2 linked regions of the Notamacropus eugenii genome follow. The protein of the gene in region 1 binds, or shares a complex with, the protein of each later gene. Links are inferred from orthologs where the notes say so. Each region holds a gene or a part of one and is shown on either strand. Other genes may lie near its edges.

The links.
Region 2: NSMCE4A (region 1) and NSMCE2 share a complex: the UniProt entries of both Homo sapiens proteins name them as parts of the SMC5-SMC6 complex. The link is inferred for Notamacropus eugenii from reciprocal best matches to the Homo sapiens genes NSMCE4A and NSMCE2.

What each region holds. Positions count from the first base shown.
Region 1 is NC_092872.1:202,579,354-202,587,326, forward strand, and holds the start of NSMCE4A (non-structural maintenance of chromosomes element 4 homolog A), read right to left. Parts: upstream 3,273-7,973; 5' UTR 3,140-3,272; coding exon 2,875-3,139; intron 1,670-2,874; coding exon 1,589-1,669; intron 1-1,588. UniProt on the Homo sapiens protein: Component of the SMC5-SMC6 complex, a complex involved in DNA double-strand breaks by homologous recombination. The complex may promote sister chromatid homologous recombination by recruiting the SMC1-SMC3 cohesin complex to double-strand breaks.
Region 2 is NC_092875.1:118,918,582-118,926,071, forward strand, and holds the start of NSMCE2 (E3 SUMO-protein ligase NSE2), read right to left. Parts: upstream 3,183-7,490; 5' UTR 2,967-3,182; intron 1-2,966. UniProt on the Homo sapiens protein: E3 SUMO-protein ligase component of the SMC5-SMC6 complex, a complex involved in DNA double-strand break repair by homologous recombination. Is not be required for the stability of the complex.

The sequences.
Region 1 (7,973 bases):
AAGGCTCAACCCAGGAGCCCTTTCCTTCATGAAGCTCTACTTGATTCCCTCAGTCATCAGTGTTCTCTTCCTGAAGATCTAAGACCTATACCTGGAAAAAGTTCTAGAGATCATTTAGTCTAGCTAGCCCCTCATTTTACACCTGAGGAAAGGGAGGCCTTGAGGCTCAATATCCCACAGAAAATACCTGTCAAAAATGGCATTTGACGCAGGTGCTTTGTGTCCACAGTCAGTGTCCTTTTCACTGTACTCTGCTGCCTTTTAAATTAATTTCTATTTACTTGTGTACATGGTGTTTAAACTCCTTGAAGGGACTCTTTCATTTTTATTTCTACATGTCTATCATTTCATACACTGTCTTACGCAGAACAGATGTTTAACCTTTTTTTTGAACTGAATTTACTAAAACAGAACTCTTACCTCTTTACCAAAACAAAACTCTTTTCCTCTTTTCTCCATTTCTGTTAATGTGATTCTTTTTTCAGTCATTAAGTCCTAATTAAACCTTAGTCATCTCTGATTATGGCAACCTAGAGGGCCAGGCCTGGAGCCAGGAAGACTCATCTTCCTGAGTTCAAATCTGGTCTCAGACACTTAATAGCTGTGTGACCCTGGGCAAATCACTTAACCCTGCTTGCCTCAGTTTCCTCATCTGTAAAATGAGATGGAGAAGGCAATAGCAAATCACTCCAGTTCTTTTGCCAAGAAAACCCCAAATGGGGTCATGAAGAATTGAACACACCGAAAGGAGTGAGCCACAACATCTTTGATTATCTCCTCCTACCCCCTATCCAATCATGATTACTACTACAAATAAACATATACTGAGTAGCTGCTGTACTGTACTATACTAGGTGATGTGAATGTGCGTTCGTCCTTCATTGCCAAAGAAGACCATGCCATCAGAGAAATGATGACATGACTTGTGCACTGGACTTTGTTGTGAGTGAAGGAGTGCTGTGCAGGTCACCAGCCTCACTTCTCCTCCAGAGTCATCTGAACCCAGTGACCAGATATTCATCAGGATGACTAGAGATGATCGAGGATGAGGCAGTTGCGGTTAAGTGACTTGCCCAAGGTCACACAGCTAGAGAGTGTCAAGTGTCTGAGGAGAGATTTGAACTCAGGTCCTCCTGACTCCTGCACTGGTGCTCTATCCACTGCACCACCTAGCTGCCTCAGGTGATGTGAATACAAAAAGACTGAAGCCTCAATCAATGTCAGGTGAATAGTTGAAGAGACCAGGGTAAAGGAAAGTATTAAAAAAAAAATAAAAGTAAAGTATTGGGATGTTACTGCACTATTAGAAATGATGACAGAAGAATCCATAAAACCTCGTAAAGAAATACATGAAATGATGAAGAGCAAAGTAAGCTAAATGAAGAGAATGCAGAAAATGACAGAGAAAAACAATACTGAAAGACGTTACAACTCAGATAACTAAAACAACTAACCCCTCCTTACAAAATTCTCTAAGGCACAAATTTGATGTCAGCAATTTAAATCTAGCCATAAGCCCAACAATTTGAGTCACCCTAATATTCCTGGTTAAGTTTAAAACTAGAAATTACTAAATACTATCACTTACCTCTGTTAAACAGCTGGTTGGCTTGTTCAAGTGCATCTGTTAATTTGTTGCTTTTTGAACTCAACATATCTTCCCGTTGTTCTATTTTAAAAATACATACTTTAGAAAACTGAAATTTTAATACATTATTGTCAAAAAGCAACATCAACAGCAAGTATTTCCAAAGGTCCTGCTCCCCACCTTTTCGAGAATTATCGTCAAAAAATTTCACATGATAAAGACAGTTTAGTGCTTTAAAAAGAGTCTGGAATCCCTTACACCTTTCTCTTCCCAACCTGTTGGTTTTTTCCATAATTCGTGAGCTTCTCTTTATACAACTAAACTACAGAAAGAGGGCTGTATGGGGTGTTAAGAGGACTGGATCTGGAACCAGAAGAGCTGAGTTCTAATCCAAGTCTTGCACTTACTGGCCTTGTGATCTTGGTCAAGCTACTCATCCTCCACCTCAGTTTCTACAAATGTAAAATCAGGGCAAACTTCCTCTGAGGATACTTTGAAAGAAACCCATTCAAGGCATGATTTGCACATGGTCTAAAGCTGGTAAGGAACTCTCCGGTGAAGAAACTTCCTCTCCCAATGCAGACTAACTGTTCTGCAACTTTTAATCTCTGAGGGTTTCTGGGACCCTGACAATGACTTGGCCAGGGTCACACAGCCTGCGTGTACGAGGGAGGGCTCGAAACCAGTCTTCCAGCCTCAGAGGGCAGCTCTGTCCACTGTGCCCCCTGCCTCTAGTTGCCTACGGTGAGCCATGAACATCTCAACCAATTCATAATTATAACGACAAAATAATGATAAAATGACAAGATAGGCAGCACCCCGCTCTTTAAACAGTCCGAAGAGAAACTATCAAGCGTGCAAAGCGCTCCCGGAGCAGATGTGGGGATAACACACAGAGCCGGGGAGGCAGAGGAGATGCTGCACAAGTTAAATGTGGGCTGCTGCCATTATTATTAGAGGGATTCAGGAGAGGGGCAGCTGGGTGGCGAAAGCGGTGGAGAGCCGGAGTCAGGAGGTCCGGAATTCAAATCCAGCCTAGCCGTGGGACCCTGGGCCAGTCTCTTCACCTGCCAGACTCAGTTTCCTCCGAGATCAACAGCCCCTCCCTCCCAAAGCGGTGGTGAGGCTCGTGAAACCCTCACTGTAAAGCGCTCCTCGGCGCACCCAGCAGGGGGGCACCCACGGGGGCGCACCCAGCAGGGGGGCTCTAAGCACAGAAGGCACAGCCGGAGGTCAGAGGAGGCTGCCCCGCCCCCCTTGCCGCCCCTCCCCCGCTCCCCGCTCACGCTGCACGTTGTGGATGAGCTCGCGGTACTGATGGCGGATCAGGCGCCGCTTGCCGTCGTCGCCCTCCGTCTCCAAGTTCGGCTCTGAGCCTCCGGGGGCCGGGCAGGGCTCGTCGTCCGCCGCCTCGCCATCGCCCCGGTCGTCGATGCCCTGGTTTTGCTGCGGGGTCCGACAGCCGCTCGCCTCTCGCGGGGCGGGCGGGAGCGAGTCCCGCTGCCGGCTGGTGCTCGCCCGGGCCGGGCCGCGGCTGTAGTTCCCCAGCATGGCCCTAGCCCCGCTGTGGCTTCACGGAGAGGAGTAACTGTGCGCACCCTCCGCGGGGAAAGGGAAGGGGGAGGGGAGAGAGATGCGCTGCTGCGCGTGCGCAGCACCGCCCCCTGCCTTCTCGCTTCTGGACTGGGCATTTCTCTTCCGGTTCGTAATTAAGGGAAGGCGGACGGTGACCCCGCAGGCACAAAATGCGTTTGGTTTCTAGACTGGCTCGGTGCGGTCCCTGGTGGGGGATGGTCGTGTCAGCTTTCCCACGCCCAAGCCTCCCCGCGCCCGCGGCGCTTAACCCTTTGTGTGCCCTGGAAGCGTCCGGACGAAGCCGGGGGATCCCTTCTCTGGACAGGGTTTTCAAGATGCATAACCTGGCCACCGAAGCCGCCTCCCCTGAAACACGGTGACTAGAATATTTTTAAAAAGCAATTTCACAGACCCCCTGATGAGCCCCTACAGCGGGTGCGGGTCCTCGGGTCACCTCCCACGCGGACCCCCCACGGTGCTGTTTTCCCTATTGTGTCCCTTTACGGTTTTATGCCCTCGCCTTTCATAAAGCAGTGTGTGGAAATACAATACGATTTCCATCTTTTATTCAGACAGAATTAAGAATTTATTGCAATTTTTATGTAACAAATCCTAAATGTTCAATAAAATGGTAGCACAAAGCTGATTGGATCCTTTATGAATCAGGATCCATACAGTTCATTTTACAACAAAACTTAAAATGCTATTCACCTGATTAACGGGAGGCTTGTTTTTCAGTTAAAAAAAAGGAAACTTGGTGTTCACGGTGATAATGCTACTAGTAAATCTTTTCCAAGAACTCCTGGAGAGATATCTTGTTACTGAAACAAACTGTAGCCAAAAACCCTATTTCATATGAATAAAAAGTTGCAAACTGCAGTAAAATTTGCATTGCTTTGCCTAATATACCAGATAATTCTTTTTTTACCCGTGGCTAAATCATAAGATTTCAGAAGTTCTTGTTCTGATGGAGTAAGAACAAATGTATCCTCTTTGTAAATAGCAAATGGTTTCATTATCCATTATTTTCATCCAGAATCCCAAAGGCTTTAAAATAATGTGTTGTTTCTTCATATTGATCAAATGATTAATGAGAGATTAATAAGTTGATCATTTTTTTATTTCATTTGCAAGGCAGGCGTTTTAAAGTTGGGAAACAAAAATATTTTATAAATTTTTTTTTTATATCTCTGTTTTCTTGTTCAGTCATGGCTGACTCTTTGTGACCCTGTTTGGGTTTGGTTTTTTGAGGGTTTTTTTGCAAAGATACTGGACTGATTTGGCATTTATTTCTCTGGCTTATTTTACAGATGAGGAAACTGAGGCAAACAGGGTTAAAGTGACTTGCCCGGAGTCACACACCATGGAAGTATCTGAGGCTGGATTTGAACTCAGGAAGATGAGCCTTCCTGATTCTATGCACTGTGCCACATATTAAAGTACACGGTAGTTGTTGTTTGGTCCTGTCTGACTCTTCGTGATCCCATTTGGGGTTTTCTTGGCAGTGATGCTGGAGTTGGTTTACCATTTCTTTCCCTAGCTTATTTTACAGATGAGCAAAGTGAGGCAAACCTAGGGTTTAATGATTTACCTAGGGTCACACAGATAGTACATATTCCTGACTCCAGCCTTGGTGGTCAATACGTTATGGTTTGGGGTGCTGAGAACCTTGTAATGCAAGGGCATAGCAGGTCTGCCTTAACAGAATTTGACAGCTCAAGCCTTCTTTCAATCAAAGCTTTATTTGTGAGCCAGTAGAATTGAGCTGGATTCAAAGTGAATCTACGAAATTTAAGGGGGGTGGCGCATAAATTGGTACTTATATGCAAGAAAAGACAGTGAGAAGATCTAGATGGGATAAAGGAGTGTTAAATAGCCTGGGGTGGTCCAGGTGCAGACAATGTAAGGAGTTAAGTGATGGGAGAGCCACAGTTAAAAAGATTATTGAGCATCTAGGTGTACCGAGATGGGCCAGATGTCTCAGGCCAACACTAGGGACTGAGTTGTGTGGGAAAGTTGAGGGAAACGGCTTCCTGCTGGCAAGGGCTGTAGGTTTCAAAGACGTAGTCTTTTCCTTTTAGGGGTCCAGGTCTCATCACCCCATCATATCCACTCTACCACCTAGCTGTCCAAATATTTCATAAGTGGCCAGTAATTTTATTCTTCTGGATTGAAATATGAGTTAGAGGACCTTGCACTGATTTATTTGTGAGTACCATTTTTCAAAAATATTCACCAAATGTACAAGTTTAAGGAGAATATTTTTGTCATAAAATGAATCTGTTGTATCTATATCATCACTGAAGAAAAATGGTAATTTCTCTTAGCTCAAACACTGACATACATAAGAAAGCCAAAAGTATTTTAGAGGAATGTAGAAGTTACCTATGCTCTGTTCTCATGTTGTCACACAATTTATAAAATCCTTTTAATGTACTTATTAATAAAGTTGATTACTCTGCTAACAACTTGAAAAACTATATGTAGCTTCTTACTCATATTTCTCAATACAGTGAAACATAGATAGCACTCCCTCTGGGCCAATTTCCTAGCTTGCATTTATACGCTGGTTGTTTCCTCAGAGGGAAGAAAATATTCTCAGATTCTAGGGGCACCTGGTGGATCCATGTTCCTAAAAGAACTCAGGCGTACACATTGGTGAGCTTTCCTAAGGTGACAGTAAAAATAGTAGTTATAAAACATTTCCCCACACAAACTTGTGGTATACCTTCCACAATTACACACAGAGGGAAGAATGTGAACAAATTACACGGTGAGGTACACACATGGGGAATATGTGTAGGCAGGAAAACTCGTGACTTTTGTGATGCAGGGATCGAAATTCTTTTTTATCTTTGTGGATTCTTCATACTGTTCCCTGTTAGAGAAAACATCTCTGCTGAGTGAACTACTCCATGGGTTTCCTGGGTCTCTTCCTCTCCACTGCTAAACTCTCAGATTACAGGGCTACTTCTCCCTTGAATCCAGTTAGCTCTCTTCTTTGCTGCCAGGGGTCTTACTTATTGAAGCTGCCTCTTGGTTAGAATGCTTCTTTCTATGTCTCCCTTGAGATTGGTGGTCTCCACTACCTGCTGGGACTTACCAGGTTAGTTCCTGTAATGTGCTTTAGATGCACCAACATTCTAAGGATGCAGCATCCATAATGCATCATGGAAGAATCCTTTGTACTCAAAATGGGCCCAACAGCACAACAGATACACCTACTCAGGCATTCAATCATGCTGAAGTGATTGGAAAGAAACTAACTTCATTAATAAAGGAAATACACCAGAAAAACTGCCTGTCCAAATGTAGTCTAAAACAAAAGAAAAAAATGTTAAGTTTTCTCTACTGAACCTCTGAAAAAGAGTGAGGGAGGGCTGTGCAAGGTCACCAGCCTCCCTTTCTCCTCCTGAGCCATCTGGGTCCAGTGACCAGATATTCATCAGGATGACTGGAGATGGCCCAGGATGCAATGGGAGACCTTGGTCTTTTAGGCTAGGCCTTTCCAGGTAATCACTTATAGGGTGGTAGCGCCCATTCAGTGAAGAGGCCTCTTTCCTTCCCAGCTTGAAATCATCTAGTCACAATACTAGGAAAGTACATCTATATGCCTAACGTTCCTTCCTTCAGTTTCTGGAGGGAATATTTCTTATTTTCATACTTTTACCTCTGTAAAAGTTTCTAATCTGCTCCAAAGGGAGAGATTATGTCAACATTTTAGCAGACAATAGAAATAATTTATATTGTGCCTAAACCTGGGACAAATTTCTTCCTGAATAAGACCCATTCTCTATTTCTATACATTATTGTAATTGTTCAGTCATTTTCAGTCATGTCATTTTACAGATGAGGAAACTGAGGCAAACAGGGTCACACAGCTAGTAAGTGTCTAAGGCCAGATTTCAAGGTGACTTTTCCTGACTCCAGGCCTGGCACTTTATTCACTGCACCATCTCCACATATTATCATTCATTATTGTGCAATCAGATAGGTATGTTGGAGGAAACATCTTGATAGGAAGGGAGAGCTCCTTACATTGTTCTTCTACTCTTAGAAGGGAAGGAAAAAAATCCAATCTAAGCAAGAAATTGAACTAGTTTTAAACTATTGAGTCAACTAAAAGTTAATTGAAATAATTAATGACCAATTAATAGCTCTTTGGGTTTTTATGACACTGTTCTCTTGGTTTCCTTACTTGTCTCATTCTCAGTCTCCATTGCTGGGTCATCATCCATATCTTTTGCTCTGATTATGGGTCTACCCCAGCGTTCTATTCCCGGTGACCTTATTAGGTTACGTAGGTTTAATCTTCTACCTAGATGACTCCCAGTTCTATTAGATCAACAGTTATATGTGTGTGTTCATCCTTCATTGCCGAAGAAGACCATGCCATCAGAGAAATGATGACATGACGTGCACTTGACTTTGTTTTGAGTGAGGCAGGGTTGTGCAGGTCACCAGCCTCACTTCTCCTCCAAAGCCATCTGAATCCAGTGACCAGATACTCATCAGGATGACTGGAGATGACCCAGGATGAGGCAATTGGGGATCTACAGTTATAATCTTTCTCTGGAGGTCCAGTTTCACATCACCAATTCCCACAGAATGGCCCACTGATATTTCAACCTCAGCATATCCAAAACAGAATTCATTATTACCTGCTATAACCTTCCACACCTATCTAAGACTGAAGTCATGGAGTATGCCCGTTATCTGCATTTGTGTATTTTTTAAACCCCTGTTCCTACTTCCAGGGATACCATCTCTATTCCAAATCTCTTGTACCCATAATTTAGTTTCTGCTTGC
Region 2 (7,490 bases), on another chromosome or scaffold:
CTTGGTGAAAGATTAGACATGTGAGGTGGGTACAAGTGAAGAGTCAAGAATAACATCAAAACTGCATGTCTGAGTAACTAAGAAGATAAAAAAAATTTTAATTAAAATAATGAAATTTAATAATGAAAAATAAAAATAAAATAAGTTGCTTATTTTGTTACTCCTTCCACCTTCTTTTTCATCTGTACAAAGCTTTGTTGTTGTCATTTCAAAATATGGTCAGACTCAATGTTTATGCTCAATACAACAAACATGAGAGCCTCAATTAAGCCTGGACAGCTGGGTAGCACAGTGGATAGAGTGCTGGGCCTGGAGTCAGGAAGAACCCTGTGTGACCCAGAGCATATCACCTCAGTTTCCTCATCTTTAAAATTAATTGAAGAAGGAAAAGGCAAACCACCCCAGTATCTTTGCCAAGAAAACCCCAAATGGGATCACCAAGAGTCACACGTGCCTGAAGCAACACAATAACTAACCCTAACCTCCATTTAATGAACTCCAGGGGCACCCTATTACCTCCAGATCTGTCTGGCTTTAAAAGCCCCTCACAACCTAGCTCCACCCCATTTTACACAGTACTACAATCAAAGATCCTGCCAAATCAAGCTTTTTACTGTTCCGCACAACAACCCTGTATCCTGGAATGTTCTTTCTCATCTCCAAATGTTCTTTCTCCTGGCTTCCAAAGCTTCTTTAAAAACCCATGTTCAATTCCACTTGCTAAAAGGCATTTCCCCAGCTTTCCCACTCTCTACACCACCTCCCACAGCAAATGCCTTCTCTCTGAGATTACCTCTCATTTCCACAGTTTATGCCTTTTATGTACAGAATTGCTAGTCTGTTGTCCCCATCCTCCACTAGAATAGACAGGAAGTTCTTGAGGATAGGAACAGTTTGGTTTCTTTTCCCCCCTGCATTTGCAGAAATTAGTACAGGGCCTGGCACACTGTAAGTACTTAATAAATGCTTGAGTATGCTCCAAATACAGATAGAAATCTATAAAATTTTCTATTACACAGAAACATGTTTCCATCTCCTACAAGATAAGCCTTTTTATGTTCCATTTTTTTACTTATTTTTACTTTTCAACATTCACTTTTATAAGATTTTGAGTTCTAAATTTTCTCCCTCCCTCTCCTCTGCCATCCTCAAGATGGTATTTCATTTGATATATACATATACAATCATATTAAACATATTTGTACATCAGTCATGTTATAAAGAAGAATCAAAACCAAAAGGAAAAACCACAAAAAAAGGAAAAGCAAACAAAAAAAAGAGAGCAACTAGTATGCTTCAATATGCATTCAGACCCAAGTTATTTCTTTGGATGTGGATAGCATTTTCCATCTTCAGTCTTGGAATTGCGTTAGATCATTAAGTTGCTGAGAAGAGCTAAGTCTATCACAGCTGGTCATTGCACAATTTTACTGTATGCAGCGCCCTCCAGGTTCAGCTCAGCATCAGCTCCTTTAAGTCTTTCCAGGTTTTTCTGAAATCCACCTGCTCATCATTTCTTATGGAACAATAGTATGCCTTTACCTTCACATACCACAACTTGTTCAGCCATTTCCCTCGATTTCCACTTCTTTGCTACCACAAAAAGAGCTAATATAAATATTTTTGTACATGTGGGTCCTTTTCGCATTCTGATGATCTCTTGGGGATACAGAACTAGAAGTGGTATTGCTGTATGCACAGATCCTCCCACCAGGAGATGGACTGGTCTGTCCTACATGTCCATTAAGTAACCACCCTTGCTGCGATCCCCTCCCAAACATGCTTTAACACAGGACCCATGATCAGAAAAGGGAGGGATAATTTCACGCGGGGTGTGTCTGCTTCTATGCATGAGGCTCCTTAAGCAAGCGCAGTGAAGAAAAGTTTTCTCCAGGTCCTTTTTCTTGGCTAGTTCCAGCTAGCTGTAGATTTGGTTCCTTTATCAAAAACTTGGTAATTTTCTGAAGGCCACTCCAATTGGTTGAGCCCACCTGCAGTCTGCAGGCCTTCTTATTATCTGAAGTATTCTCAATGATGTCATCCACTCATAATAACTTCTGGAGAAACTTTGTTATCTCTCCAACGAGCTAACTGTGAACCTAAACCCTTTCCCTCCCCGGAGTAAGGTGGTACAAAAGGGAGCAAGATTATGCCTTCCATGTTTTAAGTGGATACATTTGTATACACAATTAGACCCGAAGCGAATATTCCCCTTCCTTCCAAACACACACACCCGCTCAAAGAAGGAGGAAGAGAAAACGAGCGACGGAGAGAGAGAGACAGCACGGAGACCCTGAGATCAAAGCGCCCCTCCCCTACTACTAACTGGGGTTCTGGGCAAGCTCCTGGACTTGTGCAAAGCGGGGCTACCCACGTCGTGGGGGCGACTGTGAAGTCTTTGGCAAACCTGTGCCACAGAGAAATGCTGAAACAGATCCAGGGAAAAATGGACTCAGCGGAACCAGGATCACGTACAAAACCCGGGCCGACTGCAGAGCGGCGCTCAGCGCAGCGGTCAGGCGCACCCCGACACGGCTGGGGAGGCCCCCAAGGCGCAAGGGCGCACACACCTCTCAGGCACGGCCAGCGTGGGACGGCGTTTCGGGCTCCGCAGCCAGGATTGGGTTTTTAAGGCTGTGGGCTTCTTTTTATTTGCTTCATGTGGGAAAGATGTTTATGTTCATTTTTTAAATGTTTTTTAAAAATCCTGAAAGCGACCTAAATGCTGATTATCAATACTAGGCGATCGTGTACCCTCTGAGTCTCAGTTGCCCCACCTGGGCAATGAGGGTCCGGACTAGAGGGCACCTACCCCCTCCAGGCTCCTGTCACAAGCTACGCACTGAACAAAACGCTGGTGGAAACGGAATCGAGTCCAGGTCAGTACCTCCACGGTCTTCCCCGGAAGGACATAACTCACAGGTCAACAGGTCCTTTCCCACCTCCACCCGCGCCGGGCCCCTTACCTGGTCCGGTCGGCCGGCCCACACTGGAACCCGCCTCAGTCAGAAGCCTCCGGCCAAACTTTGGATGCCGCCTCTCTCTGATCCCTATGGAGACCAGCGCGGAACTGGCGCCGATCTCGCGTCATCACTAGGCGCTGACATACGTCATCACCGGGCGCCGGGGGGGGGGGCATAAGTTAGTCACGTGGTGGCCTTCACCTACTCCCTTTCCTTCTGGACGTGGTTGTTCACGTGACCCTTCCTGGTCCCGCCTCCGCGCTCCACCCTGTTCCATCCCATTCTAGTCATGTGACAACCGTAGTGGCTCCGAGGCTGGGGAAGGGGGTTGGTTGGGGCCTTCGGTTGGGGTGGGGGGCCGAGGGGAAATTGTCAGGCACCGGCCGCCGGCCGTGACGGGCGAGGAGGGCGCCGACCCCCCCACCGCTCCTCCTGCCCCCCCAGACCGGGACAAGCAGAGACAGACCTCGGCCCTGGAGCAGGGCCTGGCCCCGTGGCAGGTGACTGAGGGAGAGCCGGGTCCACGACCCGGCGGGAGGAGCTGGGAAGGAAGGAAGACCGTGCCTGCTCCCCGGGGGCCCGTGGTACCTGGGACCAGTGACTCAGGCTGGAGCCCCTGGGACAGGGTGAGCATCCTGGTGATGAGGGGCGGGGGAAGGAGGAGGGCAGCCCCTGCCCGCCTTGCGTGCCTGGGCGAATGTGAGAAGGTGAGGGAGCCTTGGGGATCTCGTGATTATCCAGCGGGGCCCTGGCGTGGGATTCGGTTTCCTGCGGTTCCCCGGGTGTGCGAGTCATTTCCCTGTGCTGGGCCTCAGTTTCCTTGTTTAGAAAATGAAAAGCAAATGGCCCTTCGAGCTCTGAGCCCTGTGGTTCGCACTCTAAACTGGAATATTTCCTAGTTGTAAGTGCGGATGAAAGAAACTGAGGCCCAGACGTAGGAAGGATAGCTTGGAGACTCGATACAGTACTAAACTTGTACGAAGGTGGTGGTATAATCAGGTGCCTAGCCGCACACAGATACTTCTTTTTCCAGGTTTGAAGCACCCCTGTGGTGACTCTTGTTGTTATACCGCAGAATCAAGGTTTGTTTTCAGGGTGCGTGTGTGTATGTATGTGTAAGTAAAGACTGGGCAACTTTGGGTCCCAAAGTAAGATAAAATACAGGGGTTTTCCAAAGGCTGTTTCACATTTCTAGGCTTGCTTATGGAGGGGTGTGATGAGTCCTTTTATTGTTTGAAGTACAATCACATTCTTTCTAGTGTTAATTCCCATCCTGAAAATTATTGGACGACATGCCAATTAATAAACAAAACCTTTTTTATACTTTTCTAGGACTTAGGAAAAACATATAGATTAAGGGACACTTAGGATCATAGAACTGAGAGCTGAAATGAACTTCAGAGATCATTTAGTTCAATTCCTTTTATTTTACAGATAGGAAAACAGTCTTGTAGAGGTATAAGTTAACGTGACAATAGTGACTTTTCCGTGGTCCCTATGGTAGTAAATATTACAGCCAAAATTAAAATGCAAATACTCTGACTCTAAATCTCATGCTGTTTCCACGAAATCATACTGTCAATCAGTAAACATTTTGTTAAGTGTCTAATGTGTGGCAGGCACTGTGCTAAGCAGTGGAGACACAAAAGGAGGCAAAAGGCAGGCCCTGCTCTCAAAGAGCTCACAATCTAATAGGGAAACAGTATGCAAACAATTATATACAAAGCAAGCTACATAAATAAGACAAATAGGAAATAATTGGCAAAAGGAAAACACTAGAATTGAGAGGAGTTGGGGAATGCTTCCTGGAGAAGGTGAAATTTTAGTTGTAACTTAAAAGGAAGTGAGAAAGGTCCAATTGGAGGAGGGAGAGCAAAACAGGCACGAGGGACAACCAGAGTGAATGTTCTGAACCCAGAAAATGGAATGTCCTGTCTGTGGAGCAGCCAGGAGTCCAGTGTTACTGGATCAGAGACTATATGGAGGAGAGTAAGGTGTAAGAAATCTGAGTTGTGAAGGGCTCTGAACACCAAACAGAGCATGTTGTATTTGCCTCTAGAGTCAATAGGAAGCCACTGGAGTTTATCAGGGGGCATGGGAGTGAGTAACATGATCACACTTTCATTTTAGGAAAATCACTTTAGTGACTGAATGAAGAATGAACTGGGAGTGGGCACAGACCTGAGACAGGCAGACCTGCCAGCAGGCCAGTTCAACACTCTAGGTCTGAGGTGATGAGGACCTGTACCAGAGTGGTGGCAGCGTCAGAGAAAAGAAGGGGGTATATTTGAAAGATGTTACAAAAGTGAAATTAACAAGCCTTGGTGGCAGATTAGATATGAGTGACAGATAGTGAGGGTTCGAGAATGACTCCTGGGTTGTGAACCTGAGAGACTTGGAGGGTGGTATTGCCCTCAATAGTAATATGGAAAGTAGGAGGCCTGGAAGGCTTGGGGAGGAGGGGGAAGGGAATAGTGAGTTCTATTTTGAATGTATTGGATGTAAGGTGTCTACTGGACATCCAGTTTGAAATATCTGAAAGGCAGCGGGAGATGCAAGATTGGAAGGTTGGTTTGAGAATCATCAGCATAGACATGGTAATTAAATCCATGGGAGCTGATGAGATCACCAAATGAAGTAACAGAGGGAGAAGAAAAGAGGGCCCAAGGTAGAATGCTGAGGGACACCTGTACTTAGTGGGCATTGTCTGGAGGAGGATCCAGTAAAGGATACAAAGGAGTGGTCAAAGGAAAACCAGGAGAGAGTGGTATCATGAAAACCTAGAGAGAGGAGAGCATTGAGGACTAGAAGGGGATTGATCGACCGCGTCAAAAGCTGCAGAGAGGTCAAGGAGAATGACATTTGAGAAAAGGCCAATGGATTCATCAGTTAAGAATCATTAGTAACTTTGGAGAGATCATTTTTGGTGGAATGATAAGGTTGGAACCCCAAATTGTAAGACATTAAGAAGAGAGTGAAAGGAAAGGAAATGGAGACACCTTTTGTAGAAGGTTTTTTTGAGAAGTTAAGTACAGAAAACAGAAGAAATATAAAATTATGTATCTTAGGGATGGAAGGATTCGGGTGGGGAGACATGAGCATGTTTATAGGCAGTAGGAGATGAGCCAGTAGAGAGAGTGAGATTGAAAATAAGTGAGAGTGGGGATGACATCGGGGACAGTCCCTTAGAGGAATTGGAATAGGATTAGAAGGTTGGAATGGGATTACTTGAACAAGTAAATAGAGGGGCTTAGTCTTGGTAAGAAGTAGGAGCACTTCATCATGTGAGACAAGGGTGATGGAGAGACAGTTGCAGAAAGCACTTGATAAGAGATGAGGAAGAGGGGAAAAGAAGTAATTGGGCAAATGTACTCAATTTTTTCTGTAAAACATGAGGCAAGATTCTCAGACGAAAGAATGGGTGAAGGGAAGCCATGGTAGGCTTGAGGAGGGATAATAAAGTTTGAAAGAGTCTCTGGAGAGTGGGATAGTGAGTTCATAAGGGAGATATGGTAAGTTTACCTAGCAACAGTGAGGACCCAGTTGAAGTTATGTGACATAAATTTGTTGTGGACCCAGTCAGAACAGTTGGGTGATTTTGTGGTAGCCTTCATTTAGCAGGGTGTTTGCATTCCAGTTAGCATACATATAATAGTAAAGACTTCTTCTACAATTTTGGAAACTAATCATTGGGATTATTCCCCATCCCTAGCAAACAGCAAAGTTTTCTTGAGGAGCAGAATATTATTGCTGCCCCTTAGAGTTAAGACTAAGTTTAGAAGACATTAAAACTTTTTAATCCCTTGTAAAAATTATCTGTGTTTGTGGAGAGGTTGCAGAGTAATTTGTCATCTTTAAAGAAAATCCTAAACATAGCCCTTTAGGAGTCTAAGTAACCTGTTTAGGACTAGCTTTCAGCTGACAATGAGGATTCAGATTACTGATTTGAATAAATAAATGCTTACTTGTGGAAATTCAGTACATTGGTTACATAGGAAATATCTATGACAGAGAATTGTTATTTATTATTAGCAGTTACATTGTTGTAATGTAAATAAGTTGCTATTGCATATCAGTTTTATATTTTTAAGTTTTTCCATCAGCAAAAAAAGTAGCAAGAAGCTATCAATATCAGAATTGAAACAAGCTCACAACTTACTGACAAATTCTAACCACAGCAGACAAATAATCAACGTTTTAATTTTAGGTAGAAGAAAGAAAAATCTTCCCCCCACCATTTTTTCCAGTCAACAAGCATTTATTCAGTCAGTGAGTCATTGAAGATTTATTAAATGCCTACTATTTGCCAAGTATTATGCTAAACTCTAGGAATAGAAAAAGAAGCAAAAGACAGTCTCTATCTTCAAGGAGGGAAGCTAGATGGCACAGTGGATAGAGTGCCAGTCCTGGAGTCAGGAAGTTTCATCTTTCTGAGTTCATATTTGGCCTCAGACACTAACCTGTGTGACCCTAGGAGAGTCACTTAACCCTGTTTGTCTCAATCTCCTCATCTGTAAAAGCTGGAGA